Saccharomyces cerevisiae S288C: one gene and its partners. The gene in region 3 interacts genetically with the main gene of each other region. Each region holds a gene or a part of one and is shown on either strand. Other genes may lie near its edges. The genes, in order: CYM1, SMF2, MAS1 and SMF1.

Region 1 (9,121 bases), on a different chromosome or scaffold from region 3:
TAATTTCACTAACGACCATAATGTTTCCGTAGCTTTATCTAGATTCTGTAAAATTGTCAACCTTTTGAATGAATCTATGGTAATATAAGGTGATAACAAATCTTGCGAGCCCTCCGTTAATCCCAATAGTTGAAAAATATCTGTCGCAAAACGGTACATCATAGGTTCTAAATAATCTTCGCTAATGACTGAATTTGGCTTCAACGGCATTTTATTTATTATTATAACCCCCCATTGAGGAACTAGATAACTATTCCAATCTAATGTGGTTATTTCGTCTGAAATCCGAGTGCCATTAATGAACGCCAGACCATCGGGACTTGAAGAAGCACTAGGAAAGACTATGGCTAAATTCAGTGCAGAATCTTCTGGGTAATAGGCCATTGAAGAAAGTTCAGAAAGATCAATAGTATGAGAGAGATCAAACCACGTAACGCTTGTACATGATCCATTTAATGAATGCAAATTCAAATCATTATGATAAACAATGGATGAATCTACTGTAAAATTTACCAGTGGTGATAAGAACTTCCTAAAAGGTGAAAAGTAGTCAGTTAATGTAGGCTCAATTTCCCATGCAACAGGATTCCCATCACCTGACAATAAAGTTACACTTAAATGAATGTTTGGATCATAAGATATTGCGACATCGTTGTTTGTAGAAACGCCTTCACACGTTTTATTCAAATGCGTCCATTCCAATTGGAAAGTGTGCTCTACCAATGTTTGAGCAACAAAAAACGGTAGATCATTACTTAAAACGGCAGCATCGTCGTAATATACTAGTGTTTCTTTGGTGTCGTAAGCTGATGAGTAACCAATAAATTCGTCTAACTTCAAAGTAACGACATGAAACTGGTTGCCTTCACTTTCCATCTGCTCAATAGTCTCATTATATGGAAGAACTTGTAAAGACCAAGGGACCCGTTGCTCCTGAGAATTCAATAAATGGTTAACTTGTACTTGGATAGCGTCATGAACGTCAGGAAATCTGTAAGTATCTGACTTAACATACACCGGTATTACGAGATGAATATCTTGGAATTTGTTATTTTGAAGTGACTCAATGTAATTTATTGGTAGTGATGCTCTATAAACTGTAGTTAGCTTGTACCACAGTGGAACACCTAAAAAGAGATAAATGGCAACAAAGCAAAAACCAACCCATTTTCTTAGATTTGCATTGGACATTATTCTGGCGTGTAATCCTTATCAAAGAGCGGCTCTTTTATCGTTATTTATCCCTTATTAATATTAATGCACACGTACACACTTCAATTAGTACACGAGTTCCCTTTTAAACTTTGTATCTCTGTTATTAAGCTCCACGTAAGGACATCTTTCATTATTTATAACTTCTGGATTACACATCATTTAATACGTAACACAGATTTAACAGGCCATAATAGTACTTATTAGTTTCTTCAACTTAACTTTATAGGAGTTCAAATTCTTTGAAATTAGCCTGACCCAAACTAACAACTATATTTGTAGCTTTTTGCATACTCAAAGGACTAAGATGATAGGATATTGTATATATTCAATTGCACCTCTTAACTGGTACTTTATTTCTTGTGAATGTTCGATATCTTACCGCTTATTCTCTCATTCCATATGAGAACTCTCGTATAGAAAGGGAGACCTTTTTTCACTTGAAAAATGACAATAAGATATCCAAAATAGATCGGCTTGGGACAAAAAAATGGTTAAATTACAAGATTTCTGTAGTTTCTCAACTTTCTAGTATTAATTGGGGGAGGGGAAACTGGTCTACTGCTAGATCAAGTTTCCACTGAGTTATCTCACAAGATAACAAAAAACGGGGTTCATTATCAGTATAGTCAATTATATTATCCTGCCCGTATGTTGAAGAGGAGATTCTCGTTAGAAACTTTAAGTAAAACTTATTTTTGTTAATTTTGCAGCACATTCCATTCAATAAAAGATAGTTTGGTGCAGGGAAATAAAAAAAATTGAAAGACACATAAGAATCTAGAGGTAGTAGTAGTAGTATTACACGAAAGAAGGTCTAATTAAAATCCAATACAGAAGTTTTAACGACTCATCAATTTGGAAATGAAATTCCGTTGTAAAAAGGATGTTAAATGTTATCATGGGATTATTCTATCTACTGGAGTGAAGTCGGGACTCGCAATAAACAATTCTGTTTTCAATCATATACTTTGGGATCTTCTAACACTAAACTTATTAATAAACAAAAACTATACTTAATAAAAGGGAGGGGAGGGAATGGGGAGGAAGTTCTTCAAAAAAAAAACTTTTTCAACATTTAATACGATGTTTTCCTTTTTCATTTGTTCTCAGTCTCATATTTAAGTTTTAAAACAATTCATATCTTTTGTTAATTTCTCCTTTTTTTTTCTCAACTATATAAATGGCTTACCTGGTTGGTGATCTTTCACGTGGAGCATCTCTGGTTCTGTATGCATCTCTTGGAGGACCATAATCGCCTCTTGGACCATCATAACCACCTCTTGAACCACCGTAGCTACCTCTTGGAGGACCGTAATCATTTCTTGGACCACCATAGCCACCTCTGGAATAACCACCTCTTGGACTATCGTAACCACCTCTAGGACTATCGTAACCACCTCTGGAGCCACCATATCCGCCTCTGGAGTAGCCACCGTAGCCACCTCTGGAATAGCCACCGTAACCACCTCTTGGACCACCAAATCCACCTCTGGGGCCACCGAAGCCGCCTCTGGAGAAACCGCCTCTGAAGCCACCTCTGAAGCCGCCTCTGAAGCCGCCGCGACCTCTGAAGCCACCTCTATTTGATCTTCTGATTGGTGGAGGATTGTCATCTCTTTCAACAGTAATGACAGAACCTCTGAATTCAATATTGTTTAATCTCTCCAAAGCTTCGACCAAGATTTCTTCACTAGGGAATTCTAGAGCACCGGTACCATCAAAATCTCTGGTATTGACGCTAGAAAAAGTAGTTTCTAAACTATTTTCCCTGGCTAAATCTTTAAGATCTTGCCATGAACAACCTTCTGGTAAGTTTTTCATGGTGATACGGTATCTCTTGGCAGGCAATTTAGAGTAAACAACTTCCAAAGGTTGGTTAGCAAAACTCTTACCGTGAACTTCTTCAATGGCTTTGGCAGCGGATTCTGCTTCTTCAAATTCAACAAACGCGAAGCCGTTCAAGATCTTGACTTCCTTCATTGGTCCAAATGGACCAAAGATTTCATTCAACTCGGATTCTTGAACGTCCAATGGGAAAGGTCTAACAAACAATCTGGTGTTCGAGAGTTCTCCTTCTTGACGGTGGTGCATTGGTGGGCGACCGTGCATGTGTTCACCTGGAGGAGGAGGAGGATAATATGGTTGGGGTTCAGGTGGTTGGTGGTGCTGGTGGGCCTCTTGGTAGTCTTGGACACTGTGGGATTCTTCGCCTTCATAAATTGGAGCATTAGATGGTGGAGGAACGTCATTTTGTTCTTGTGGAGCTGGTGGTTCTTGTGGAGCAGATTCCTGTGGAGCAGATTCCTGTGGAACTTGTGGTTCTTGTGGAGCATCTGGAGCCTGTGGTGGTTCTTGGTGCTGTTCTTCGACTGGGGCATCGACAACAGATTCTGGTAGTTGCTCTACGTGAGTTTCTTGAGCTTCAGACATTATCCTTATGGTTTTAGCGTAATTGCTTAATTTTGATTCCTTCAAAAGTATATATATTTAGAAGAGAGGAAATTATTTTTCTCATGTCCTTTTTAAATCCCTTTGGGTGGCGAAAAAAAAGAATGTAAAAAATTTTGCCCTTCGTTTACAGTGATAAATATACGGAGGGGCTCTATGATAAAGGTAGTAGTAAATCATTGAATTGTTGAACAAGCATTGACAGATATGATAACAAGCAATTGTAATCAATAAGCCACCAATTAGAAGGCTACTCAAAAGAATAAAGTTACTATAAAATATACTGCGGTATATATGTTGCGGTTTCAGCGATTTGCGTCCTCGTATGCCCAAGCACAGGCCGTTAGAAAATATCCAGTTGGAGGTATATTCCATGGTTATGAAGTGAGAAGAATTCTACCGGTTCCGGAGCTGAGACTCACTGCGGTAGATTTGGTGCACTCCCAGACAGGAGCCGAGCATTTGCATATTGATAGAGACGACAAGAATAATGTGTTCAGCATTGCTTTTAAAACCAACCCTCCAGATTCCACTGGGGTCCCTCATATTCTAGAGCATACAACGTTGTGTGGGTCTGTTAAATATCCAGTTAGGGACCCTTTTTTCAAAATGCTAAATAAATCTCTAGCTAATTTCATGAACGCTATGACAGGTCCAGATTATACATTTTTTCCCTTTTCCACTACGAACCCTCAAGATTTCGCTAATTTAAGAGGTGTTTATTTAGACTCCACCTTGAATCCGCTACTTAAACAAGAAGATTTTGATCAGGAGGGTTGGAGGTTGGAGCATAAAAACATCACAGACCCGGAGAGTAACATTGTTTTCAAAGGTGTTGTCTATAACGAAATGAAAGGTCAAATATCAAATGCCAATTACTATTTCTGGAGTAAATTTCAACAGTCTATTTATCCTTCCCTGAATAACTCCGGCGGAGATCCTATGAAAATTACAGACTTGAGATACGGCGATCTCTTGGATTTCCATCACAAAAATTACCATCCCTCCAATGCAAAAACTTTCACGTACGGTAACTTGCCATTGGTGGATACGTTAAAGCAATTAAATGAGCAGTTCAGTGGTTACGGGAAGAGAGCTCGAAAGGATAAGTTGTTAATGCCTATTGATTTAAAAAAAGACATAGATGTCAAGTTACTGGGTCAAATAGATACTATGCTTCCACCGGAGAAGCAGACAAAAGCCTCAATGACGTGGATTTGTGGAGCGCCACAGGACACATATGATACCTTTTTGTTAAAAGTACTGGGGAATTTATTAATGGATGGCCATTCTTCTGTAATGTATCAAAAATTAATAGAATCAGGAATTGGTTTGGAGTTCTCCGTAAATTCAGGTGTTGAACCAACTACAGCAGTAAATTTGCTAACTGTTGGTATACAGGGCGTGAGTGATATTGAAATATTTAAAGACACTGTAAATAATATTTTTCAAAACCTGTTGGAAACAGAACATCCTTTTGACCGCAAGCGTATCGATGCCATAATTGAACAATTGGAATTATCTAAGAAGGATCAAAAGGCTGACTTTGGACTTCAATTACTCTATTCTATACTACCTGGTTGGACAAACAAAATCGATCCTTTTGAGAGCTTGTTGTTTGAGGACGTTTTGCAAAGATTTAGAGGTGACTTAGAAACGAAAGGTGATACTTTATTCCAAGATTTAATCCGTAAATATATCGTTCATAAACCTTGTTTCACGTTTTCCATTCAGGGATCTGAAGAGTTCTCTAAATCTTTGGATGATGAAGAACAAACAAGACTGAGAGAAAAAATTACTGCCTTGGATGAACAAGACAAGAAAAACATCTTTAAACGTGGTATACTGTTACAGGAGAAACAAAATGAAAAAGAAGATTTATCCTGTTTACCTACCTTACAAATAAAAGACATCCCAAGAGCTGGTGATAAATATTCAATCGAACAGAAGAATAATACAATGTCTAGGATTACTGATACCAATGGTATCACATATGTCAGAGGTAAACGTTTACTAAATGACATAATACCCTTTGAACTCTTCCCATACTTACCTTTATTTGCTGAATCGTTAACTAACCTAGGGACAACAACAGAATCCTTCAGTGAAATAGAAGATCAGATAAAATTACATACGGGTGGTATATCAACACATGTAGAGGTTACATCTGACCCTAACACCACAGAGCCTCGCCTGATTTTCGGGTTTGACGGATGGTCTTTAAATTCGAAGACCGACCACATTTTTGAATTCTGGTCTAAGATCTTACTAGAAACTGATTTCCATAAAAACAGCGATAAATTGAAAGTTCTTATCCGCTTATTAGCATCTTCAAACACATCTTCTGTAGCAGATGCCGGTCATGCATTTGCAAGGGGCTATTCTGCCGCACATTATAGATCAAGTGGAGCTATAAATGAGACCCTCAATGGTATTGAGCAACTACAATTTATAAATAGATTGCACAGCTTGTTAGACAATGAAGAAACTTTCCAAAGAGAAGTTGTCGACAAGCTAACTGAATTGCAAAAGTACATTGTTGATACCAATAACATGAATTTTTTTATCACCTCAGACTCTGATGTTCAAGCGAAAACAGTAGAAAGCCAAATTTCAAAATTCATGGAGAGATTACCTCATGGCAGCTGCTTGCCCAATGGACCAAAGACTTCAGATTATCCTCTTATTGGATCCAAATGTAAACATACTTTGATAAAATTTCCTTTCCAGGTCCATTACACATCCCAAGCTTTATTGGGTGTGCCGTATACACATAAGGATGGCTCTGCACTTCAAGTTATGTCAAATATGCTAACATTCAAACATTTGCACAGAGAAGTCAGAGAAAAGGGTGGTGCTTATGGTGGTGGTGCTTCTTATAGCGCCTTAGCGGGTATTTTCAGTTTCTATTCCTATAGGGATCCTCAGCCTTTGAAGAGTTTAGAAACCTTCAAGAATAGCGGGCGTTATATACTGAACGATGCCAAGTGGGGCGTCACAGACCTTGATGAAGCTAAATTGACAATATTTCAACAAGTAGACGCACCTAAAAGTCCCAAAGGAGAAGGCGTGACGTATTTCATGAGCGGTGTTACAGACGATATGAAACAAGCAAGAAGGGAACAACTCTTAGACGTATCTCTCCTGGACGTTCATAGAGTCGCCGAAAAATATCTACTAAACAAAGAAGGGGTGAGTACGGTCATTGGACCTGGAATCGAGGGGAAGACTGTTTCACCAAATTGGGAGGTGAAGGAACTGTAGATATATAATTTAATCCTGTAAATATACTGCTTCAAAGTTTCTTGCCGATCTATACTCATCGCTTGTAACGAAGTTAAAATTTTTTTCTTTCACTGAGTGTGGAAAGTGAAAAATTATCACGATGGCAAAAGAGAGGGAAGAGAAGCCCTAGTTACTCGCTGTATTGAAAGGATCAAAAGACCAAAGACCACCAGGAATAATGAGTGAAGTTGCACCAGAGGAGATCATAGAGAATGCAGATGGATCTAGATCTATCATTACATACAAGATTGAAGACGGTGTCAAGTATAAGATTACTCAGAAAGTAAAAGAGGTTAAAGTATTGGAAAAAGTCCATAAATCTGTTGCAGAAAGAAAAAACTGGCATAAATATGGCTCTGAAAAAGGGTCTCCAGCAGGTCCAAGTGCTGTTACAGCAAGATTGGGTGAAGAAGTAGAATTAAGATTGAGTAGGAACTGGAAACAAGCTGAAGAAGAAAGAATACAAAAAGAAAAGGCAAGTCTCACAAAGACCGGTCTACAATGTAGATTATGTGGTAACGACCATATGACCATGAACTGTCCATTCAAGACAATTTTAAGTGAACTTTCAGCATTAGAAGACCCAGCCACTAATGAAGGCGGTGTCGAGGCCGCCAGTGAAGAGAAGGCAGGCCAAGTTGGCGGAGCTGGTTCCATCCCAGGGCAGTATGTTCCACCTTCTCGTCGTGCTGGTGCAAGAGATCCTTCATCCGATGCTTACAGAGACTCTAGAGAACGTGATGATATGTGTACTTTGAAGATTATGCAAGTTAATGAAAATGCCGATGAAAATAGTTTGAGAGAAGAGTTATTGTTCCCATTCGCACCCATTCCAAGAGTTTCTGTCGTTAGAAACAAAGAAACAGGTAAATCAAGAGGTCTCGCCTTTGTTACCTTTTCGAGCGAAGAAGTTGCCGAACAAGCTTTACGTTTCTTGGATGGTAGGGGTTATATGAATTTAATTTTACGTGTTGAATGGTCCAAACCTAAGGTTAAGGAATAGATGCACAGAATATGCTCTGCACTTGTTTTCTAATGTTACTCTTCTCATATAAAAATTGTAGATATTAAGAAAGAAAGTATGTAAACTAATCAATCTATACCTAAAAGAATATTGTTCAATATTCTATAAAGCACGCACGGCATGGTAAAATTTTTAACGATTGTAAGATTACAACAAGTTGCAATCCATTCAAGCTAAAAAATCAAAGCAAGGAAAAGCTCAGAGGCTGTCGTGAATATGTCAAATACCGTAAGAGCCATTTCACCAGATATAACACTATTCAACAAGACATTGACATTCCAAGAAATCTCACAAAACACTAGAGAGGCTGTCATATACATTCATGGAGGTGCATGGAACGATCCTGAGAATACGCCCAATGATTTTAATCAATTAGCCAATACCATCAAATCAATGGATACTGAGTCAACGGTTTGTCAATACTCTATAGAATACAGGTTATCACCAGAGATCACAAATCCAAGAAACTTATATGATGCTGTGTCAAATATAACAAGGCTTGTTAAAGAAAAGGGATTAACGAACATTAATATGGTGGGACATTCCGTTGGAGCTACCTTTATTTGGCAGATATTAGCTGCACTCAAAGATCCTCAAGAAAAAATGAGTGAAGCGCAATTGCAAATGTTGGGACTTTTGCAGATCGTGAAGAGAGTATTTCTATTGGATGGTATATACTCGTTAAAGGAACTGTTGGTAGAATACCCAGAGTATGATTGTTTTACAAGACTTGCCTTCCCTGATGGTATTCAAATGTACGAGGAAGAGCCCTCGAGAGTAATGCCTTACGTGAAGAAAGCCCTTTCTCGCTTCAGTATTGATATGCACCTAGTGCATTCTTATAGCGACGAGTTATTAACGTTAAGACAAACTAATTGTTTAATTTCTTGTCTTCAGGATTATCAGTTAAGTTTCAAGTTGTATTTGGACGATTTGGGTTTGCATAATGATGTTTATAAGAATGGTAAAGTTGCGAAGTATATTTTTGACAATATTTGTTGATAGTTGATTTTATTTCTGCATTTATATATATGTGTGCGTGTGTGTTTTATATATAACTGCCAATGGCCTAAACCCAGATGGATTGGCCACGAGCTTCCATTTTTTTGCCCAGTTTTTCTACTTGATCGTTCCATTCAACCAGTCTGT
Region 2 (7,619 bases), on a different chromosome or scaffold from region 3:
TCTATTTATTTGAAGCGGATAGTACAACAGATCAGTCTAAAACGTATAAGCTCTTAGACCGAGAAACCAATATTCAAATAATGACTTTATTTTTAATATACACTTCAAACATATATAGATATATACATATGCACCGCACTCTATGAAATTCAAATTTTTTTCTTCACAAGAAAAAAATGAGAGAAAAGATAGATAAGGAGGAAACAAATTAACTTTTAGCCTTCTTGACAGCTTCTGACTCGCTAGATTCTTTTTCAAGCTCGCTAGAAGATCTCTTTTTTGCATTGTTAATTTGTTTAGAGAAAATTGAACCCAATTCGGAAGGATTGGCGATTTCCATCAAACCCTTGTTGAAGGTAGACAAATGAACTTGTACACCATCAATGGTGACCATGTCATCTTCGTGGGTTTCTTCGATTTTGTCCTTTTTAGCTTCAAGTTCATCAAGAACGTCCTGGTTATAGTATAATGGCAATACGGGCGACCTATTGGTCTTGATAAAAATGGATCTGATTTGGTATGCTTTGATTAACTGTTCAGAAATTAATTCAACGTTATCTACAAACTCTTCTGGCCTTAACCATTCTAAATTACCCAAATGGACATTCAACGTGGTACCTCTTGGAAGTTTAACGGGCAACTGATTCATGTAAACCTTTTTGATATTGTTCGTCAAAGTGGTCAAGGAAAATTCCTTATTTGCATGTGTTCTAATTGATATAGGAGTAGTTTCTACTTTGTTGTAGGCTTTGCCTCCCATAAGTTTTGGCAAAGATGTAACTATACTGTCGTCAGCCAAAATCAAAGAAAACTGAGATATAAAAGCGTTTCTAGCCTCATATGCCTTGTAAACGGTCTTTAAGTCTTTCCCGCAAATGATTTCATCAACCTTGATTCCTTCTGAATCTAATTGATCAAATAAATCATCTTCTGAAACTTTCTTAATATCAGAATCCTTCAAAATTAATAAAACTTTGAAATCCTTAACCGCTGTTGCACTGGCTTCTTTCCAAGGCTTGTAAAACGAATGTTTGACATTTAGTAATTTCAATTTGAATGATTTGGAAGTACCGGTGAATGATTTATTATTTACTACGATTAATTGCAGATCTTTCTTCAATTCTTCTTCATCATCTTCCAATAGGTTTTTCTTACCGTTATTTCCTTCTTCATTATTTTCATCTTGTGGCTTGGAAGTGAATTTTATAAGCTCGTTGACAGCTTTAATAACTCTTTCCCTAGGAATGGCTGTGGAAGATTTCTTTTCAATAACCTTCTTCTTTTCTTTGCTTGGTGTACTTACAGGCGTAGATTTCTTTGAGTTACTCTTTTTAGCCATTTTATACTTTATAGTCTGGAACGTAGGTTTATCTGCCTGCTGTCTAATATTTCTTATAAAACAGACACTATTCTTTATGCAGTATACAAACGCTTTTTGTTACTTTTCAAAATTTGCGATGAGCTCCAGTGGAAAAATTTTTTTCAGGAAATTGTCTTTAATTTTTTTAGTATGAAGTGACATCAACTTCACATTTATTGACGCAACGGTGAAGCACAGAATAGAATAGTAATTCTTTAATGGTATATTCTAGGTTTTTGTTTTTTATATAGTTATTTATTGTTTTATTATTTTTCCCATTCTTCTTTCCTGAAATAGAACACAAAAAAGCTACTAACAAAGGATATTAAAGGTAATCTGTGACCAGCCCTCATTACCAAAAATAAAGTTTGTTCAAGTAATAGAGTAGAGAAAACAAAGTGGAAATCATAATGGTTAAATTTAAATATTTTTCTTTTACTTTTCTTATTTCACCTCTTGTGATCTTATCGTTGATTTTGATATATTAGTTTCTGAGTGGATGAATATCCATAAAGGGTAAAACAAATAATAAGGTAAAAGGGAAGAAAAAAAAAAAATAAAAACTAAAATCGTTTTACAAAATAAATACGAATCTTATTTCAAATTGAGGAATTTTCCACAAATAAAAAAAGGACAACAAATTACAGACGTTGTGTGGTAGCTTTTTCCTTATTATTAAGAAGAGCTTGGAAATAGCTCTTCCTTTAAGGGAACGCCCAATTCTTGTCTGACATCCTTCAATTCATCCAAGTAGGCCTTGTATTGGTCTTCATTCTCCACCTTGTATTTCAAAGCCTCAAATACTCTAATTGCGGTAGGTAAGTCATTGACTCTTCTGGCAGCCCTCAAAGCTTTTTCAATAACAGCAGGAGCAGGAACTAAATCATAGGAAAAACAGTTGTTGAGCACTCTTTGCACTTCAAACAAATCATAGGCTTCATCAAACTCCTTTTCGTATCTTGCGGTGAATTCCTCAAAGGTTTCTTCATCATGTGCGTCAGAATACTTCCTACTTTGAATAAACGTATTTTTAGTCAATCTAGTTGCATGATAAGCACCAGGTCTGGCTCTCAATAAAGTTCTATTTATAACTGGATTTCTGAATATGGCCCTTGATAACATTGTTGTATATTTATTAGTTTATGTGTCAAATACAATTGTTCGGCTGTTTATCTCCGCTACTAAGTCTCAGAAGTGATACAATTTTTCAAATTGTAATAATAAATAAGTGTGCTAAAATGTGGATGAAATGTAAAGAAATGAGGTAACCTTGAGATCTGGCACCTTGATAAGCAAGAGCAATTGTTGATCTTTATTAATGCTTTGACCGGACCAATTAGGTCCCTTTTCATAGGGAGATTCAAAGAAAGCTGTAAGCGGCGGAAATAACGCGCGGGGCCCTGATTGGCTCGTATGGAGCGATACGGCCATCAGTATAGCCTAACACCAACTTTTTGATTGGAATTTTCTGTTATTATTCTTGGATAAAATGTATACTTATACTAGTCTAAAGAATTGTTATATTAGAGGTGTACTTCTTTGCCCGTAGTAAAGCCCAGTAACATATAAAAGTTCAGTCCGGAGATAATCAACCATACTATGATTGCGAGCACGGTGACGATCATTCCATTGCTCATGTCTTTGTATTCTGGAGCAGGAGAAACTAAGCTGCGCTCCTGTGAGCTGCTGCCTATGCCCATTTCTTCGAGCTCAATGGTCTCATCATCTTCGGTTCGGTCGGCCACGGGTTTTTTGTCTGTAGTTCTTGAAAGTTCTTTGGTACGGTTAAGCTGTACACGCATAATCTTCTTGCTTGAAGTGAAGTAAAGTAAAGGTGCAGAAACAAAAGGCAGCAAGAGAGAAAGTACCACTTGGGAAGCATTTAGTGCACCAGAGAGGCCGCTACGTCCAGCTACAAGCACTAAAATCAAACAAGGCGTGATGGCTACCGCTCTTGTGGCGGATCTTCTCAATGCCGGAGAAACAGTCCAATTTAAGAACCCTTCACTAACCATTTGTCCACTCAACGTACACACGATACCGGCACTCTGTCCTGAAAACAACAATGCCAGCACGAATACCGTTCCCGCTCCCTTGGAAAGAGTACTACAGAGTAAGTTGTAAATAGAAAATAAGTCAGCTTCCTCAGCATTTTGAGTGGACCCGTATAGTGTAGCGCCAGACACGATAAGAATGGCACAATTGACAAATAATGCCACCGTGAACAGCGAGATCAGTAATTCCGTTATAGTAAAGTGCAGAGTTTCACTGATGGCCTCATAGGATGGCCTGTAATTATCGTGATTGTTATCCATATCATTCGCGTCTGGCAAGTAATGTCCGTTTTTGATATCATACTCTCTTAATCTTGGTTGAACCACACCTGACCCCAAATATAATGAATGAGGCATTACCGTGGCGCCCAGAATTGCCAGACTTAAGTATAACCCATCACCTTCAAAAACGGCTTTACTGGGTAAGAACCCAGAAAATATTTCTTTGGCAGGTCCCAGTTTGGCATAAAACAGTTCAACAGTAAAGCAAACTACGGTAAGAACCACCAATAAAGAAACAAAAGCTTCAAATATTCTGATACCCTTCATGGAACCGTTAGGTTTGTAAGCTAGCAGAACAATTAAAACGTCTACCACAGTAAGTATCACACCTAGGGCGAGAGGTATATGGAAAAGGATATTCAAAGAAATAGCGGTTCCTACCACTTCTGCCAGATCTGTGGCAATAATTGCCATCTCCGCCAGAATATAAAGAGTAATGTTAAGTCCAAAGGGCAAATGTTTCTTACAATTTTGTGCCAGATCTAGGCCAGTGACAGCACCCAATCTGGCGCAGAGGTACTGCCAAAAAGCAGCCATGAAATTAGAAACTAAGACAGAAAATAAAAGCTTGTACCGATGAGCAGAACCCGCTGCTACAGCTGTACTATAGTTACCAGGATCCATGTACGATACAGATACCATCAAACCAGGACCGATGAACCTAGCATATTTTCTCAATGTTCCGATCATGCTCTGGGATGTTGAGTTTGGCTGCAAAGTTGTTCTTCGACGCGACTCATGAGTGGTATTCACGTCGGCATACGCATCGTTGACACTATCATTATTTGTTTGGGATTCATCGCTCCATTGAATAGGTTCATATTCTTGGGACGTCATCAAACATAAACGCTATACGGAAAATTAGTGGTTAAATGGCAATAGAGATGTGCTAATATTAGTATCAAAACAAATAGTTGTTGAAGAGGGTTTTCTAAACGGTTAAACGCGTTTGATGGTTAAATGACTAGAAGCAAAAGGAGACTGATTCTGAAATTTAATATGATTTCTTTTTTTTCTGCTGTTTCTCTTCTGCATTATTTTCTTCCTTCGAGAAAGAGTATAAGTATGTTTAAAAAGGTCTTCGTAAGCCACGCTAAAGCACCCCGGGTGGATTTTTCGCGCCGGGCGGGGTTAGCAGCACGCAGGATGGAAGAGAAGAGAAAGGATGCTACAAACTTGTGGTTCATTCTATACAAAGTACTTATATGTATATATACATACTCGATCAGCATTTCACTCCACACACCCTGCGTGTGATAGTAAAAAGCTAGAAAGCAGGTAAGCAACAACCTACGATTTATTCAGAAGCTTCTTGTAAGGAAGAGGTTATTTGTTCAACAATTGGTCTGATAATGTCCTTCTTGTTTGGAACCATATGTCCACCAGGGTGTTCGTAAGCCAACACCTTTTCCTTATTACCATTTTGCGCCTTCAAATAAATATCGTACAGGTACTTGGATCTGACGGATGGGACGGCTTGGTCAGAAGCACCATAGATGAAGATCATCTTGGTCTTCATGTCTGGTTTTACCGCAAATGAGTCTCTGAATTTTTCGGTTATTCTCAATTCTCCAGGATGTTCTGGGTCTGGCTCGGTGAAGGAATAGCCGGAAATGACTACACTTACCTTGAATTGTGGATGGTCTGGAACTAACTCTGAGATCTTGTTGGTGATGATAGAGGACAATGCGGCACCTTGAGAGAAACCGACAATGCCGTCGTATGGGCCATTGGCCTTGATGTGATCAACAACAGACTTCAAACCTTCTGAGATATCCAATTCGTGAGAGATTTCGCTGTGATAGAACCAGGCTCTGTTAACATCCGCATCTAGGGTGGCTTGCCATTTTTCATCATCCATTTCAAATGGCAAGTCCTTCTTTTCTAAAAGGACTGGTGCATCAATATAGTCACATTGGACATTAGCCTTCTTCAATAATTTTCTAATACCAGATGATTTTTCGGAGAAAACTTTACCGTTTTGCAAGAAGCCGTGTAAAAATAATAATTTTGGAATTTGTACAGTCATCCTTCGTTTATTACAAGCTAGAGAGTTTCAGATTTAGCTGCTACTTTTACTAGAAAATTAAGATTGGCCGCGTACATCTGGCATTTTGCACCTTTATGGTTTATATACAATATACATTGCAGCCAAAAACATTCGAAAACTAGAGAAAAAGAAAGAAAACATGCGAGAATATGCAAAAATGAAAAAATGCAAAATTTCTTTTTTCTTTGGCCTATGCGTGTTGCCTTTTGAAGATCCGAAACAATCTATCACCAATGACGTAAGCGGGAAAAGATTATGCAACATCCAAAGGAAAAAATATGCAAAAAAATCAATCATCCCATGCATACGGCGACTTGGCTCTCAGTCGGGCACCGTATTTGGTAAACAGAAATGGGACAGGAATCATCGCTACGGTCACCATTGCCAAGAGAAAGCCGGCCCAATTCACTCCCATTGACTTGTACATCTGGAGTCCGAAAAGAGGGAAGACACCGGCCATTATGCATCTCACAAATGTGTTACAAGCCATTCCAGAAGCTGCATATCTTCTATAGGCATCCACTGTATACGCAAAAACACCGGTAAAGACGAAATAAACACCTGAACCGAAAATTGCACTGCCTATAATTGGTGCAATCCAATGGACATGCTTGTAGCAGGTGAATGCAAAAATGAAGAGCCCAACTGGGGTCAAAAAGGCGCCGTAGAACAGAGGCTCGAATCTCATTTCGGGAGTCTTGACGCCATTATTTCTTTTGACTCTCCACTCAAACGTTTTTTGGAATAACAAGCAAGTAGGAGCCGAGAGTATCATGCCGACCATAATACCGATATAGGAGCATGCAATCTCCATGGGCCCAAAGTTGTAAAGTTTCTTGAACACATAAGGAAACGCTACGAAATATAAATATATTATGGCAAGTTCCAATCCAGTATAGAAGCAAAGCACACCCATCATTCGGTCTCGAAGTAACAGGCCAAAGGGTCTTTTGGTTGAGAGAAAGATTGCGGAAAGTAAGGAAGTCTGTTCGCGGGTGACTTCCAGGACAGCATAATACCGTTGATCATTTTTCTCTTTCCTCAATCTCTTAGCTTTACGTATTAACAGCATTGGTTTGTAGGTTTCAGGTATGGTAAAGATGATCATAACGAGACAACATCCAGAAGTGATGAGAAGTGTGATAAATGTCCATTTATAACTTTGATGGTATAAGGCTCCACCAATGATTGGTCCTAAAGAGGGCCCCAAAAAGGCCGATGTAGTGTATATTGCCATAGGAATACCAATTTGGTCTTTGTCGAATATATCGGCAATGGCGCCGCCAGCCACACTTAGAAAGGCTGAACCAAAAAACCCGGATAGAAATCTGCCAAACATGACACCCGTAATGGTCTTGGACCAAATGGTCAAACACTGCCATATGATACTGAGCGTAAGGGCGTATAAAAATGTGATCCTTCGTCCATATAGTTCACTTAGTGGAGACAGAAATAAAGGTCCTATACCGAGCCCAAACACATAAAGCGTAATTCCCAGAGTGCTGACTTCGTGCGAAATATGAAAGTGTTCGATTATGTGCGTTGAAGGAAGCGTCCAGCTGGACGAGATCATCGTAATTACCATCGATGTGAATGTAATTAACGAGGAAATATAATACCGGCGGGCGGTGCTCATATGCCGTGCTATATCTTCTGGGTCCGCGATGTCCTCGTTGAAGGTCACTTCATGCGATTGTTTGCCGTCATTTTTTCGTTCACTGGTCAATTCCAGATCCAGTTTTGCGGCTTTGTCTGAGTTTATTGAACAATGCTCTTCTTCAGTAGATGTCAATGCCGATGACTGTGCACTCGCTATTTGAAATTCTGCAACCATATCCTGTTGTTATATCTGCATATATATGTTCTTAGTATA
Region 3 (7,129 bases):
TCGTTTCAACAAACCAAATAACTATGAAATTAAATATGGTCCTAAATATAATTTCTTGATTTCACATGGTGGTAGGGAGATTACTAAGTTCAAAGAAGTTGACGAAAATTGTATTGTTTTACAATTGGTTACAGGAAAAAAACATCAGATTCGAAATCACGTCTCTCAAATTTTAAATCAGCCCATATTAAACGACAAGAGACATGGCAGCACTGTCAATTTTCCAGAGTTGTTCAATGACCAAATAGCGTTGCATTCAGCGTGCATAATAACGAAAATTGGCCTGCAAACTAAAACGCACTTGATACCTATGGAACACAATAATACTGGCCAACTTTGGTCAAGAAAATACGTCAATGAAGAGGGTGAGTTCACTTTGCCCATAAAAGAAGTCCTGTTGGAAAACTGGGACCAGTAAAATAAGCAATAAATAATCGGTTATTAAATTATTTCTAATACACATATATAACGAGAATAAAAAAGGTAGTCACCACTAACCAAACCATATTGATTAATTGATGATTACTGCCTCTTTTTTTCCACAGGTTTGTTATCCCATAATGATTTTAAAGAGGCAATAAGACCAGCTTCTTGACTCTCTAATTTATATATACCGACGAACGATAAAAAGGAGCCCAAGCTCAATAAATACATCGCGTAATGATGTACCTTTCCATAGACTCTTTCAGAAATATAGTCTATAATGCAAGACTGAAATCCGATATGACAATGACCTAGCAGGACCAAGGAAAGAAATGTGTCGGTAAAAGTGGAAATAGGGCCTGTAGTGACCAAGGGAACTGCGATCAGCGGAAGAACCGCTAAGGACAGTCCGCGCTCGACAATCCAATGGTACGAACCCTGAGCTCTGCTTTCGGGCGGCATATAAGAGGAATCATTTGCGGTCCCACTCACACCTCCAGGTTTCTGTGGAATCTTTGGCAGAAAAGGAATGGTAAAGGATCTGGCAATTGAAGTATGAAAAGCCCTTATTCTGCAGAGTGGTTTCAAAAACTTAGTCGATGACATTCCTACTTTCCTAAGAATTGGGGCAACCTTTTTGAGAATCGTTGCTGATTCATTAGAACTGATAAACGGTCTGTCCACTGGGGACTGAAAATATATAGGTTTGCTTCTATGAAATTCGACGTCAAAATTAAGGGATACCTATGGCCAGCGCCCTTCAACTGACGATTTTTAGTTATCATACGCGTCCCTTATTATCTTAAACCGTAATAAAAAATCGTTACTTCGGATAAGGGTACTCCAATCTGGATGTGAGAGTCTGATAGTACCATGTTAGAGCCGCGTTGAAGGTGCGAATCAGGGTTTTATTCTCCTTAAACTTGATCCCGTCCAAAGGAGTTAAGAAGTAAAATGCACGGCTTTACTAAGACTATATTTACGTATTAAATTCCTCAACACGTAGTGAGGAAAGCTAAAATGCTGAGCTTAATTTCTCAGCCAACAATGGGTGATACTACTGTTCAGTGCACAGATTAGATGACCAATATTATTTTCACGTATTTAGTGATATTCGTAATCGAGCTGGACTCATCTCTTTAGTAATAAGAAGTGAATTTGAACGCTATGGATAAATCATGATATCTTGCTCTCAGGCATCAAACTAGTGCGCAAAGTGATAGGTGATCATACAATGTTTTCAAGAACAGCATCCAAGTTCCGTAATACACGGAGGCTTTTAAGTACAATTTCCTCACAAATTCCAGGAACCAGAACCTCTAAACTTCCTAATGGGTTGACAATTGCCACAGAGTACATCCCCAACACATCTTCGGCTACTGTTGGAATATTTGTCGATGCTGGTTCTAGGGCAGAAAACGTAAAAAACAATGGTACAGCGCATTTTCTAGAACACTTGGCTTTCAAGGGTACTCAGAATAGGTCACAACAAGGAATTGAATTGGAAATTGAAAATATCGGATCTCATTTGAATGCATATACATCAAGAGAAAACACAGTTTATTATGCTAAGTCCCTACAAGAAGATATCCCAAAGGCTGTTGATATTCTAAGTGATATTTTGACTAAGTCAGTTTTAGATAATAGTGCTATTGAGAGAGAAAGGGATGTCATCATCAGAGAAAGTGAAGAGGTGGACAAGATGTATGATGAAGTTGTTTTTGACCATCTTCATGAGATTACGTATAAGGACCAACCTTTAGGAAGAACCATTCTGGGTCCTATAAAAAACATAAAATCAATAACAAGAACTGATTTGAAAGACTATATAACCAAGAACTATAAAGGCGACAGAATGGTATTGGCAGGTGCGGGCGCTGTTGATCATGAAAAATTGGTACAGTATGCTCAAAAATACTTTGGCCATGTGCCCAAATCTGAATCGCCTGTCCCGTTGGGATCACCAAGGGGCCCATTACCAGTTTTTTGTAGAGGTGAAAGGTTTATCAAAGAAAACACGTTACCTACAACACATATTGCTATCGCATTAGAAGGCGTGTCATGGTCTGCACCTGATTATTTTGTAGCTCTGGCAACACAAGCGATTGTTGGTAACTGGGACAGAGCCATTGGCACAGGTACAAACTCCCCCTCTCCATTAGCTGTTGCAGCAAGTCAAAATGGTTCTTTGGCTAATTCTTATATGTCATTTTCCACCTCTTACGCTGATTCAGGTCTGTGGGGAATGTACATAGTAACTGATTCTAATGAGCATAACGTGCAGTTAATTGTTAATGAGATCCTGAAAGAGTGGAAGAGAATAAAATCTGGCAAAATATCGGATGCAGAGGTGAATAGGGCAAAAGCTCAGCTAAAGGCAGCTCTGTTGCTATCGTTGGATGGATCGACAGCCATTGTAGAAGATATAGGCAGACAAGTGGTGACCACAGGTAAAAGATTATCACCAGAAGAAGTTTTCGAGCAGGTTGATAAAATCACTAAGGATGATATTATTATGTGGGCAAATTACAGATTACAAAACAAACCAGTTTCAATGGTTGCCCTAGGAAATACATCCACTGTCCCTAATGTATCCTATATCGAAGAAAAACTGAACCAATGACCACGCCGATTTATTAGTAAGTTCATTTCACATCTCTGCTAATTTCTAATTTCTCTTCATACTTGTATAAAGTTCTATGTCAATAAATTCTTGTTCAAATGAGATGTTGCTACATAAAAAATATGAATAGATATCGGCGGCTCTAGTACCCATTCCCCAAAACACGATGTCGGTATATTAACAGCACGTGTATTTTCTTTTTTGAAGGATACATTAATACTTTCTTCCTAAAACTGCACTTATAGTGGGGTGTGAAAGGGCCCTTCCCGTATTCAATATTAAAGCAGCCCTTCAGATTGCAAAAAATGCACAATAAATTTGTTAATATAAGCCACAAGCCAAAAAAAAAAAAGTGATGCAATTGTATATACTTAACATAAAGATTTTAAGTTATCCGTTACCATTGCATACAGAATTATCCAGATAATACTGTTTACTATGCTCATCGATCGTTTCATATTGGTCATTGCCTTGAAAAAAAAGCACGTGAAAAAAATACTGTGAGACCTTTTCTTGCAATATCTCGATCAGATAGCATCTGTAGCTTTCCATTTAGCTGAACACATCACACTGATCTGATAAACACCATTATATCTTCGGTATTATTTACTGAATTTTCCCTTATAGCAGCAAGGGAAAGCAATAATAAACGTGCTACTAAAAGTTTTTTTAGTCATCGCTCAATGGAGGTCAGCACAATACTGTGTGATTGGTCATAATAATTGCATTGTAGAATATCTGCCAATGAATATGTACCTACCTCTTCATATCTCTGAGCAGTAAATACCTCTCGATTTCGCTGCTTTTTCGCCAGGAACATTAAGCTGTGCAAAAAAATAAATCTTCGACTTCCTATATCCTGCAGCAGCACCAGTTGAAAACAACTGTAGCCAGAAAAAGTCAACGGACCTGAAATATAAGCTGATAAACTACCTTCTCATTCGTAAAGTACTTAACAAAAAATAATGATGACCTTCCAGTGTAGAAGTTTATCATAGGGAAGGAAATTCAATTCGAGAAATACGATTCTAATAACTATGGAACTACCCTTAATTAGTCCTAAAAAGATTGATTACGCAGACAGTATTTGTGTTACCCGCCCTTTAATATTCGTCCAAAACGGTAAAATAGGTAGATAGGACAGATGCAGAACTCATCAGGGGTAACACCATAGAATCTAGAAATTGAACGTAGGGTAACTCTAATATTCAATCCATATATAGGTAAAAAGAAATAAACATCACGTGATATGTAATACCTCTAATGCACTACTACCTTCTGTTCATAATACAGTTTATGTAAAAACAATAAATTTCGCCAGGAGAGTTTGGCTGGGGCGGCACATCTGTTAAACGATAACGCAGATGTCCTAAGGGGGACTCATGGAGAACAGAAATCTCCAGTAGAACAAAAGGGTAAAAGTCCCCTTGATTTTGATTTTCAGTGTGAATACAAACCATGAAAGTGTGGCCTATCGATCCTTTAGTCCCTCGGAATTTGAGGCTAGAGGTGCCAGAAAAGTTACCACAGGGATAACTGGCTTGTGGCAGTCAAGCGTTCATAGCGACATTGCTTTTTGATTCTTCGATGTCGGCTCTTCCTATCATACCGAAGCAGAATTCGGTAAGCGTTGGATTGTTCACCCACTAATAGGGAACGTGAGCTGGGTTTAGACCGTCGTGAGACAGGTTAGTTTTACCCTACTGATGAATGTTACCGCAATAGTAATTGAACTTAGTACGAGAGGAACAGTTCATTCGGATAATTGGTTTTTGCGGCTGTCTGATCAGGCATTGCCGCGAAGCTACCATCCGCTGGATTATGGCTGAACGCCTCTAAGTCAGAATCCATGCTAGAACGCGGTGATTTCTTTGCTCCACACAATATAGATGGATACGAATAAGGCGTCCTTGTGGCGTCGCTGAACCATAGCAGGCTAGCAACGGTGCTCTTGGCGGAAAGGCCTTGGGTGCTTGCCGGCGGATAGCAATGTCATTTTGAGTGGGGATAAATCATTTGTATACGACTTGGATGTACAACGGGGTATTGTAAGCAGTAGAGTAGCCTTGTTGTTACGATCTGCTGAGATTAAGCCTTTGTTGTCTGATTTGTTGGCACGAGCCGGCGGGAGCGGGCTCATACTAACGAAGACGAACCAAAAGATACACAGTAGCGGGACGAGAGTCTCGCAGCTGTCTGGCGGGCGGCGAAGTGCGGGTAACGCAGTAGCGGCGCTGTGGGCGCTGCTCGAGCGTTCTGGCAGAGAGGCGGTCCGGGTAAGCGTGTGCTGCATCGTGGCTCTCAGGTCTGTTTCGCTGGTCTGTGAGCGCTGCGTGTGCGTGTGCGTGTGCTAAGACGGGGTCCGGGTAACGTGCTTGCGCGCGGAAAAAAAAAAAAGATTGCAGCACCTGAGTTTCGCGTATGGTCACCCACTACACTACTCGGTCAGGCTCTTACCAGCTTAACTACAGTTGATCGGACGGGAAACGGTGCTTTCTGGTAGATATGGCCGCAACCGAAATAGTTAGGTGTGGCAGCCGTACATATGGAAGCCGGGCGATGGCTCCGCCACGTGCAAAGTGCAGGAGCTTTGGAAAGAGCGTGCATATAGTGATGAAAACAGAGAGCACGGTTGCGAACGGAGGGTCTCACAATGTCTCAAAGGATAAATCTCTTGGTTTGCGGGCCGCATACAAGATATGATTGTAGTTTTTTCAATGGCTCTACTGTCCCACTGCTGTACAACAGAAAATGAGAGATCAGAGAAATAGTATTCCGGAAGCCAGTGGTGTTTACTTATTAGTTTTTTGACGCCACTGCGCGAGTTGCTGCCTAGCTGTTCCTTGGCCAACGCATATTGGAACTTCATTCGACTGATATGCTTACTCAGAGGTCCATTACTTCAAGAATTGTCTCACCTATCGGGCTTGGCGTTTGTACAAGAAGAAACTTTCATCACCTTTGTTTCGCCACCAAATGAAAAAAAAAACTTGCATGGCTTAGGTGGTTCTTTGTCAGAAATATCTTCTAAGGATCAAGAGTCTTACGTGATTCTAATCCCTTGGCAAGTCAGATCTCAAATATGCTCACTCGCAGATGAGTAGCAATGAATGCGACCAAGTGACTAGTGACTGGTGACGACATGAGCCAAGCTGGAACCAGCAGCTTTCACGTCGGCTTATAGCTCTCTATGGGGCAATCAACCACTCATAGTGACTGAAGATCTTTTTAATATAATTACATTGCTAAAAACGTCATACCGCCTTGTGAGCACGATAAACAGCATATGCATTGAGCCTTGTTATTCTTCGGAACTGGGGATAGTAAAATGCGACCCGCTTAGGATGATCAAGCTATCTTTGGGACGGAGTTTTGTCATGGGAGTGGTCATCCTACTGGTGATGCTTCAACATTTGATTTACTAAATTTTGAAATCGGCCGCAGAATAAAACTATTATGTCCAAACAATTGATGGTCGAACCAACGTTAAGGGTTTCAAGTATTGAATTGAACTTTTATGAGTTCTATAATTTCGTTGCGCAAATTCAACTAAACCACCAATATCCCCCCTACAACGCTACACTTTATACCGATAGAGGAATAACGCATAGAGCCTTCGTAGAATTCTTCAACTCGTACGTGATGGGGATTCTAAACCTATCGTCATGTCGCTGTACAAGGCTGCTGCCTGCTTTCAAATTCCCAATTTTACCATGTCCGTTTCGCTGAGCCGAATCGTCACACAAGGTAATTAGTTCTGGGTATCGCTTCAGTATAGCACTGGTTTTTTCCTTGTAAAACCACAGTCTAACAATTAAATGAAGCTTTTCGAAGAAATTAGACCATGTTAGACTGAAAGCAAAGACTCCGGCCCGTTCTGAGGTAAGTTCAATGAAATTGGACAGTTTCTTTTCAAGGTTAGGTTTTGTGTTCGAAAAAAATAGATTACCGCACCTCCTTTCCAAACCCCATGAGTTTCCATTAAGGAAGAGCAACGTCAATAATACCACCTTTTGCAGATGTGATTCAACTCAAGATGCTGTAATCTTTCCCTTCTGACCCTAGATCACCTCATGATATCCT
Region 4 (7,856 bases), on a different chromosome or scaffold from region 3:
TGGCATCGTACTGCGAAAAGTCTATGGAAAGATTATATAGGTCTGCTAACGATTCCAGTTCTGCTCTTCTAAAGTTCAAATGAACTTGTACCATATACAGCAGATATTTCTTCATGCTGCCGTTTTTACCTTATATACAATGTGTTTAGTTATGCTATTTCATCTCCATATTACGGGTATTAAGACCTCGATGCCCATAATCATCGATTTTTTTCACTTTTCCCACAACGTAAACATTTCTTTTTTCTTCGGAAAAGAATCCAAAATACGGGTAATAAAAGTCTCTTAAAGTACTAATAGCTATAGATAACATTATGGAGGCTATTGATATACAAAATACTAAGAAATATAGGTTGCTGCAAGGAAGAAGATCAAAAACCCTCTAAATTTCGCTTTATCTATCCATCAAAAGTCCGGAGGGTCATGCTATCGAAAACCTATTGACTATAAATATCAATTTTTTTATCTCTTCGATTTGTTCTTGAAGATCTTGCGCAGAAGTTGAAAAACAAAGAGTAAATCCTAATGTAGATGCGTGGAAAAAGAAACATGCTCTTAAGGATCCCAACTTCTTTCTCTTCTAAACATCTATAACCTTGGAAGATCTTGCGAAATACTGGGCGGCTAAATCGAATGCATTTTTAATCTTACCCGGAAATACTTTCTTTTTTTTATTTATTTTTTTTCTTGCAGCCCCTCCCTACGAGCAGCGCCGAGATTTCTTGTTGGACAAAGCAAAAAAAGTATAAAAGGCGCATGCTTTCCACACGCCCAGGCGCTCTTAAATTTTCTTCCGCTCTCTCCTTTCCGCCACTGTAATTAAAAACAAAGGATTGAACAGTTTCGACTAGTTATTTAATTTTGCAGATAGTCAAGTATTAGTACAATATACTGTTATAAATTTTTTACGTGTATCTTTTACTTTTTAGTGTTTAATAACTAAAATCTCATACCTTACTAGATTTCTTTCTAACCTTTTTTGCGAAAGAAACAAAAAGAAAAAATACGGACAGAAAAGGTATACTCAATAAACAAGAAATTGAAAAAGCGTGCATAATACAAACAATTGGCCCTTTTTTATTCTGTATTAATATTACTGTTTATATTACAATCTTTTCATAAAAGACGCAAATATTTTATTTATAAAGAACTTTAGCAGTATACACAAGTCTGAGAAAATAGAGAATAAGTTAAATAAGCAATGAGCTCTGACGAAGAAGATTTCAACGACATCTACGGCGATGATAAGCCTACCACTACTGAAGAAGTCAAAAAAGAAGAAGAACAAAATAAGGCTGGCAGTGGTACCTCGCAATTAGATCAACTAGCCGCACTACAAGCATTATCTTCTAGCTTGAACAAACTAAATAATCCAAATAGTAACAACAGTAGTAGTAATAATAGTAACCAAGACACATCTTCTAGTAAGCAAGATGGCACTGCGAATGACAAGGAAGGTTCCAATGAAGACACTAAGAATGAAAAAAAACAAGAAAGCGCTACATCAGCAAATGCCAATGCCAACGCTAGTTCTGCAGGACCTTCTGGCTTACCTTGGGAACAACTTCAACAAACCATGTCACAATTCCAGCAACCATCTTCTCAATCACCACCTCAACAGCAAGTAACTCAAACCAAAGAGGAACGTTCGAAAGCGGATTTGTCTAAAGAAAGTTGCAAGATGTTCATTGGTGGTCTGAATTGGGACACTACGGAAGATAATCTTCGCGAATATTTTGGTAAGTATGGTACCGTCACTGATTTGAAAATCATGAAAGACCCTGCAACAGGTAGATCTAGAGGGTTCGGTTTCTTATCTTTTGAAAAACCTTCTAGTGTTGATGAAGTGGTAAAGACACAACATATCCTCGATGGTAAAGTTATCGACCCAAAAAGAGCTATCCCAAGAGACGAGCAAGATAAAACCGGTAAAATCTTTGTTGGTGGTATTGGTCCTGATGTGAGACCAAAGGAATTTGAAGAATTTTTTTCTCAGTGGGGTACGATTATCGATGCGCAACTGATGTTAGATAAGGATACCGGTCAATCAAGAGGTTTTGGTTTTGTGACGTATGACTCCGCTGACGCCGTTGACAGAGTTTGTCAGAATAAATTCATCGATTTCAAAGATCGCAAGATCGAAATCAAGAGAGCTGAGCCAAGACATATGCAACAAAAATCATCAAACAATGGTGGTAACAATGGTGGAAACAACATGAATCGTCGTGGCGGTAACTTCGGTAACCAAGGCGATTTCAACCAAATGTATCAAAACCCTATGATGGGCGGTTACAACCCAATGATGAATCCGCAAGCAATGACAGATTACTATCAAAAGATGCAAGAATATTACCAACAAATGCAAAAGCAAACTGGTATGGATTATACTCAAATGTACCAACAACAAATGCAGCAAATGGCAATGATGATGCCAGGGTTTGCCATGCCACCTAATGCAATGACTTTAAACCAACCACAGCAAGATTCAAATGCCACTCAAGGTTCCCCAGCACCTTCTGATTCCGATAATAATAAATCCAATGACGTCCAAACTATTGGTAATACATCAAACACTGACTCTGGTTCACCGCCATTGAATTTACCTAATGGTCCAAAGGGCCCATCACAATACAATGATGACCACAATAGCGGTTATGGCTACAACCGTGATCGCGGTGATCGTGATCGTAACGATCGTGACCGCGATTACAATCACCGTAGTGGTGGAAACCATAGAAGAAACGGCCGTGGTGGTCGCGGTGGATACAATAGACGTAATAATGGCTACCATCCATATAATAGGTAAAAAAAAAGAAAAGTGTAGAAAACTAGAGAAAAGTTTTCTTGTATAATTCAACAACCCTTCTATTAAATAAGCATAAGCAATTTATAATATATATATACATGTACGTGTATTAGTTTCGAATAGTTATTATTTTTTTTTCACTATGCTAGAATGTATAATCACAAGCTCTACTTGAAGTACAGCTGTCATAAAGCTTACAAATAATCTTAATGTTATTGTGCGCAAGAATGTAAGAGGCAGACATTAACTGATATCACCATGAGACATGCCTAATTGAACAATGGCATAAACGTTCAGTAAAGATAAGAAAAGCCACACAATTATAGCAATAACAGTGATAATCCAATTGTTTGCCATATAAACGATTTTGACATCTTTTCCATTTTCTATCTCCATGCCACTAGAACCATCTTGCTCGATTACGCTACCTGCAGATCTATCGTTGTTATTTTGATGGTTATGGCTATCTTCTTCAGTATGGTCGACGGTAATTTCGGTTTTCATGATTGATTTTTTACATGTGAAGAAAATTAAAGGTGCTACCAAAAATGGCAGAACTATGGATAAAACAACTTGGGAAGCATTTAAGGCCTTTGATAAAGCTTCTCTACCGATACAGATAGAGATGACCAAACAAGGGATTATCGAAATACATCTAGTGGCCAATCTTCTTTGCCATGGCTGCAACTTCCAATTAATATGACCCTCACTTACAATTTGACCCGACATAGTACACACTACACCTGCGGATTGACCACTTAATAAAAGTGCGAGCATGAAAATCGTACCTGCTGCGGGTGCCAGATTTCTTGATAATAATTCATGAATAGTAAACAAATCTGCCCCATCTGCTTCTGGTGAGTTATATAGAGTGGAGCCCGCAACAACTAGGATGGCACAATTGACGAAAAGCGCTAGGGTGAAGAGAGTTATGCTTAATTCGACCATAGAATATTTCATGCAATATTTGATAGCAGCGTTCGTGGGTCTATAATTAAAATATTTTTCTTCCATAATCTCTTCAGTGGATTTAGATTTTTTCACTTTATCTTGTTCTTCAGAAACAGTATAATTACCGTGTTTAACGTCATAATCTAAAAGCCTTGGCTGCACTAAAGCGGAACCCAAAAACAACGAATGTGGCATAACAGTAGCACCTAAGATGGAAATAGCGGTATAAATACCATTGTGGTCAAACATTTGGGCAGATGGCACAAATCCTCTGAACACTTGTTTAACGGACGTACTCTTCGGGATATAAGCCAATTCTATTGCGAAACAAATGCACACGCCAACAACTAATACTGCAACAAAACATTCAAATATTCTAATGAACCTAATTGATGACGCACCAGGTTTATATGTAAACATAATCAAAAACACATCCACAACAGTAATGGCCACGCCCGCTGGAAGGGGCACTTTGATCAGGATATTCAAGGCAATCGCTGTACCAATCACTTCAGCTATATCGGTGGCTATAACGGCACATTCTGCAAAAAAATACAATGTCCAGTTGAGCCACCGTGGTAAATACTCTCTGCAAGCTCGACTTAGATCTAGTCCCGTAACGGAACCCAACTTGATACACAGACATTGCAAAAATATGGCAATAAAGTTTGATAACAAAATGATACAAAGTAGGGAAAATTGATTAGAGGCACCTGCATCGACGGCAGTAGAGTAATTACCGGGATCGATGTAAGCCACACTAACCATCAATCCAGGTCCAATGAACTTCAAGTATTTAGCAAAAATATCTCTCATTACCTGCCTTTTAGAAACATACGTATCCTCTCTTTCATGGTTACTAGAGCTACTGGTAAAAGTTCTTACCGGGGCTTCACCCTCAATTACCACTGTAGAATCTTTCTTATCCCTCAGTTCGAATACTTCTTCTGAAATATTTCTTTTGCGGGCTTCGCTAGCATCCACAGCAACTGCAGCATGAGAAGGACCAACGTTCACCATTTTGACCTAATTGAGAAAGTTAGTTTTTCTGCTGATATATATCTTTCTACCTATTCATGAAATATTAATATGCTCGCACAATGATGAGCAGCCAAATATTATTCTATGTATATTTATATTGCAGCATCAAATCACCCCGGCGGAGTTAACAAATCCTAAATTAGAAAAAACTGTTGCATTTAGGGACGCTAGGGTCCACGTAGTACGTCGAAATATTTTCGGCACAGGAATGCGAACAGGATTGATTCCGATGATTTAACATCTAAGCAAGCTGGTTTCTGGCGCGCATTACTACTACAGAAGTACTCTGTACTATTCTAAGTTTACGGCTGTCGTTTAAACAACGCTCCTTCCAAGCTACTGGCGTTGCGGTTACTATATGCAGTAAAAAAAATTACTGGCTAGCCAAATAAAGAAGAAAATCGGCCAACAAAATTGAAGAAGAAAGTAGAACTGAGAAGAGCGCGTTAACAAGGCTCTTCAAACCATGTGACACCAAACTTCGCAATAGGATTCCCCTCCTCGTTGTAGCTTTTAAACTTTATTATTACTTGTATGATGATAATTGTAGTAGTAGTATATATATATAAATTATAGATTTTATATTTATTCGTCTTCTTCCAAAGTTTGAGCGGCAATACGATCCAAATCTCTTTGACCGTTTTCAGAGATTCTTCTACCACCCTTTGGAGAGATTTCGACGATACCAATCTTTTCCAAAGCTTGCAAAACCTTTCTGTTGATAGAACCGGAAGCGTCAATGTGCTTGTATGGTCTAACACCTCTGCTCTTGGCACCACCGTATAATTTGTTCAATTTACCAACACCAACTTGTTTTCTCATGTAAATGTGTCTGGCAACAGAGGCAGCACGCTTGTAGAACCAACCTTCGGCATCTTGTGGTGGCATTTCGTTACCAGAAGAGGTCTTGACAATGTCAACGTAACCTGGAACTTCTAGCTTACCTTGTCTTTGCAAGAAAGAAGCGTAAGCATTAATGAAATCTTGAGCAGCAACGTCTCTGTAGAAAACAAAATCAAAACAAAAAAGTTATTGTTAGTAAATGATACAGTTTAAAAAAAATACTTTCATTAACCATTACGTTTCATGAGAACTTATCGGAAGGAATTGAAATCCTAGTAATAACAAAGAGCAAATAGCACCACTACCCTTAATCTCCCTCTTCTTCCATATATTTACACATTGCACTCATTCGCGAAATTTGATCAATATTTTGTTTCAATTATTATGGGACAGTTGATATATCATTGATTTAACCATGGGTGCTATTTAACTTGACGAAGAAGTACTTTGCTTGCGTGTCTATGCTGCTGGAATGACTGCGTTTTATTTCCATCTAACCACTCGAAACATATAGTAATAATCATTATGATATGTCATTTTTACGTACCTAACGGAAACACCTGGCATTTTTACTCTATTTGTCGATCGTATCACTTCGCTTTCAAGCTAAAATATTAATAAACGCACCGGGGTATTAGATATACAACCCATAGTTTTCTTCATTTCACCTATATCTTTCCGGTATCTCAATAGGGCTTTTGCAAACAAGGCCGAACCTCACATTGAAAAATTTCACGGCGTTCTGCAATCCCGATCATAAGAAATGTAAAAAAATAAAAGGCCGCCAGAACGGTTTTATATAAATGTACGGGTTGAACGAACGTCACATGTGTACGGATGTAGTTGTGTCACGGTATCATGGTTAGAGACACAGTATATGAAGATTGAAAACGGAAGAATTTATTATGAAAGTTTTCAACTATGGTCTAGCCTATTGATGGTGTAGCAAATATTCTAGTGTTAACTTTGACTCACTTTATGAACTAAATGCGTTATTGATCGCCAGTAAAAATTATGTAGTTTGAAAGAAACGATTGAAAGTGTATGTAGTTTATGAATTACAAATGAGTAACAATAAAAAAGTAAATATGAAATTTTCATTTCAGTTAACTTACACCTTGAAACCCTTAGATCTTCTTCTACCTCTAGCTCTTTCGAACTTTCTACCGGTGGACAAGATTCTTGGAGCCTTACCCTTGTGTGGACCCATACCGAAGTGTCTGACAGCTTCTCTGGAGTTTCTTGGACCTCTCAAGATCAAAGTGTTTTGACCCTTTGGAGCTCTGACAGCTAATTGATCCAAAGTGATACATTCACCACCAGCCTTAACAATCTTGGCTCTGGCACCAGCAGTGAATCTCAAAGCAGCAACAGTGGTCTTTGGGAATTCAAAGATTCTGGCATCGTCAGTAACAGTACCAACAACGACAACAGTCTTGTTAGCAGCACCTTCTTGCTTCAAAGCTCTAGCAATTCTAGAGACAGAAACAGGTGGTCTGTTGATCTTAGACAAGAACAAAGCCTTCAAGACAACCTTGTTGAATGGAGCATCAGTACGACCTAAAAAAAAAAAATGAAAAAATGTTAGTAACTAATGGATCGAAGGACCGGAAAACAATAGTTTTCCGTACAAATATTTCATTAAATTAGAAAAAGATTCTGCTCACTGGTTTGCAATACCGCACAAAACGTGATGTAAAAGAAACATATCGTTCCTCAAATATACCCGTTTGCACTCGCAGAATTTTAATACGTCTAGCTTCTTCTGGTATGACTATTTTAGCCAGATTCAGTTCAATAAATTGACCAATAATTTGTCACATCAGAAGCAAAGCTAGATGATCGCGAAAAACATTAACCAATATTTTTCAGCAAACCATAACGAATATTTATAGAAAACCAATGAACTTACCAAAGTTCAGGATAATCTATTATATTCAATGTAACAGAATCCTTCTAACCATAATTGGCGTTGGTTAAAACCCTTGATATTATTCTTGAACATACGAGCTAAGAAAGTGTATAATTTGACTAACAATTTCAAGTAGACATTGTCAGACTTTGGAGCAGTTCTGTGACCAGATCTCTTGTGTTGCTTGGAAGTGTGATCGATACCCATTGTGAATCCGTAAGCTTGATGATCTCTTCTTGTGATGGATCCAAAATGGCAGAATTGATGAATCTTCAACTCAATTTGTTTTAAATTATCTCATAC

Evidence for each region.
Region 1: mutations in MAS1 (region 3) and CYM1 are lethal when combined (synthetic lethality), as found in Saccharomyces cerevisiae (3 studies listed by BioGRID, with this or other methods).
Region 2: of MAS1 (region 3) and SMF2, extra expression of one rescues a mutant of the other (dosage rescue), as found in Saccharomyces cerevisiae (one study listed by BioGRID).
Region 4: of MAS1 (region 3) and SMF1, extra expression of one rescues a mutant of the other (dosage rescue), as found in Saccharomyces cerevisiae (2 studies listed by BioGRID).

The regions. Positions count from the first base shown.
Region 1 is NC_001136.10:1,323,307-1,332,427, reverse strand, and holds CYM1 (pitrilysin family metalloprotease), read left to right. Parts: upstream 1-3,957; coding exon 3,958-6,927; downstream 6,928-9,121. Other genes in the region: GPI-anchor transamidase GPI17, read right to left, coding at 1-1,191; mRNA-binding protein NPL3, read right to left, coding at 2,401-3,645; TIF35 (translation initiation factor eIF3 core subunit g), read left to right, coding at 7,127-7,951; BNA7 (arylformamidase), read left to right, coding at 8,189-8,974; proteasome regulatory particle lid subunit RPN9, read right to left, coding at 9,042-9,121. UniProt on the Saccharomyces cerevisiae protein: Degrades mitochondrial transit peptides after their cleavage in the intermembrane space or in the matrix, and presequence peptides; clearance of these peptides is required to keep the presequence processing machinery running.
Region 2 is NC_001140.6:204,568-212,186, reverse strand, and holds SMF2 (divalent metal ion transporter SMF2), read right to left. Parts: upstream 4,534-7,619; coding exon 2,884-4,533; downstream 1-2,883. Other genes in the region: CIC1 (Cic1p), read right to left, coding at 209-1,339; COX6 (cytochrome c oxidase subunit VI), read right to left, coding at 2,036-2,482; YHR050W-A (uncharacterized protein), read right to left, coding at 2,542-2,712; FSH1 (putative serine hydrolase), read right to left, coding at 4,994-5,725; YHK8 (Yhk8p), read right to left, coding at 6,036-7,580. UniProt on the Saccharomyces cerevisiae protein: High-affinity manganese transporter involved in manganese uptake from the extracellular environment.
Region 3 is NC_001144.5:487,783-494,911, reverse strand, and holds MAS1 (mitochondrial processing peptidase), read left to right. Parts: upstream 1-1,657; coding exon 1,658-3,046; downstream 3,047-7,129. Other genes in the region: pseudouridine synthase PUS5, read left to right, coding at 1-418; protein SHH4, read right to left, coding at 523-1,029; RRT15 (Rrt15p), read right to left, coding at 4,318-4,506; YLR162W (uncharacterized protein), read right to left, coding at 4,983-5,339; YLR161W (uncharacterized protein), read right to left, coding at 5,571-5,915. UniProt on the Saccharomyces cerevisiae protein: Catalytic subunit of the essential mitochondrial processing protease (MPP), which cleaves the mitochondrial sequence off newly imported precursors proteins. Preferentially, cleaves after an arginine at position P2.
Region 4 is NC_001147.6:86,643-94,498, forward strand, and holds SMF1 (divalent metal ion transporter SMF1), read right to left. Parts: upstream 4,778-7,856; coding exon 3,050-4,777; downstream 1-3,049. Other genes in the region: TRM11 (tRNA (guanine-N2-)-methyltransferase), read right to left, coding at 1-115; HRP1 (Hrp1p), read left to right, coding at 1,202-2,806; 40S ribosomal protein eS19 RPS19A, read right to left, coding at 5,384-5,798, 6,189-6,208; 60S ribosomal protein eL18 RPL18A, read right to left, coding at 6,753-7,201, 7,649-7,760. UniProt on the Saccharomyces cerevisiae protein: High-affinity manganese transporter involved in manganese uptake from the extracellular environment. Also contributes to cellular accumulation of other divalent metal ions such as cadmium, cobalt, copper, iron and nickel.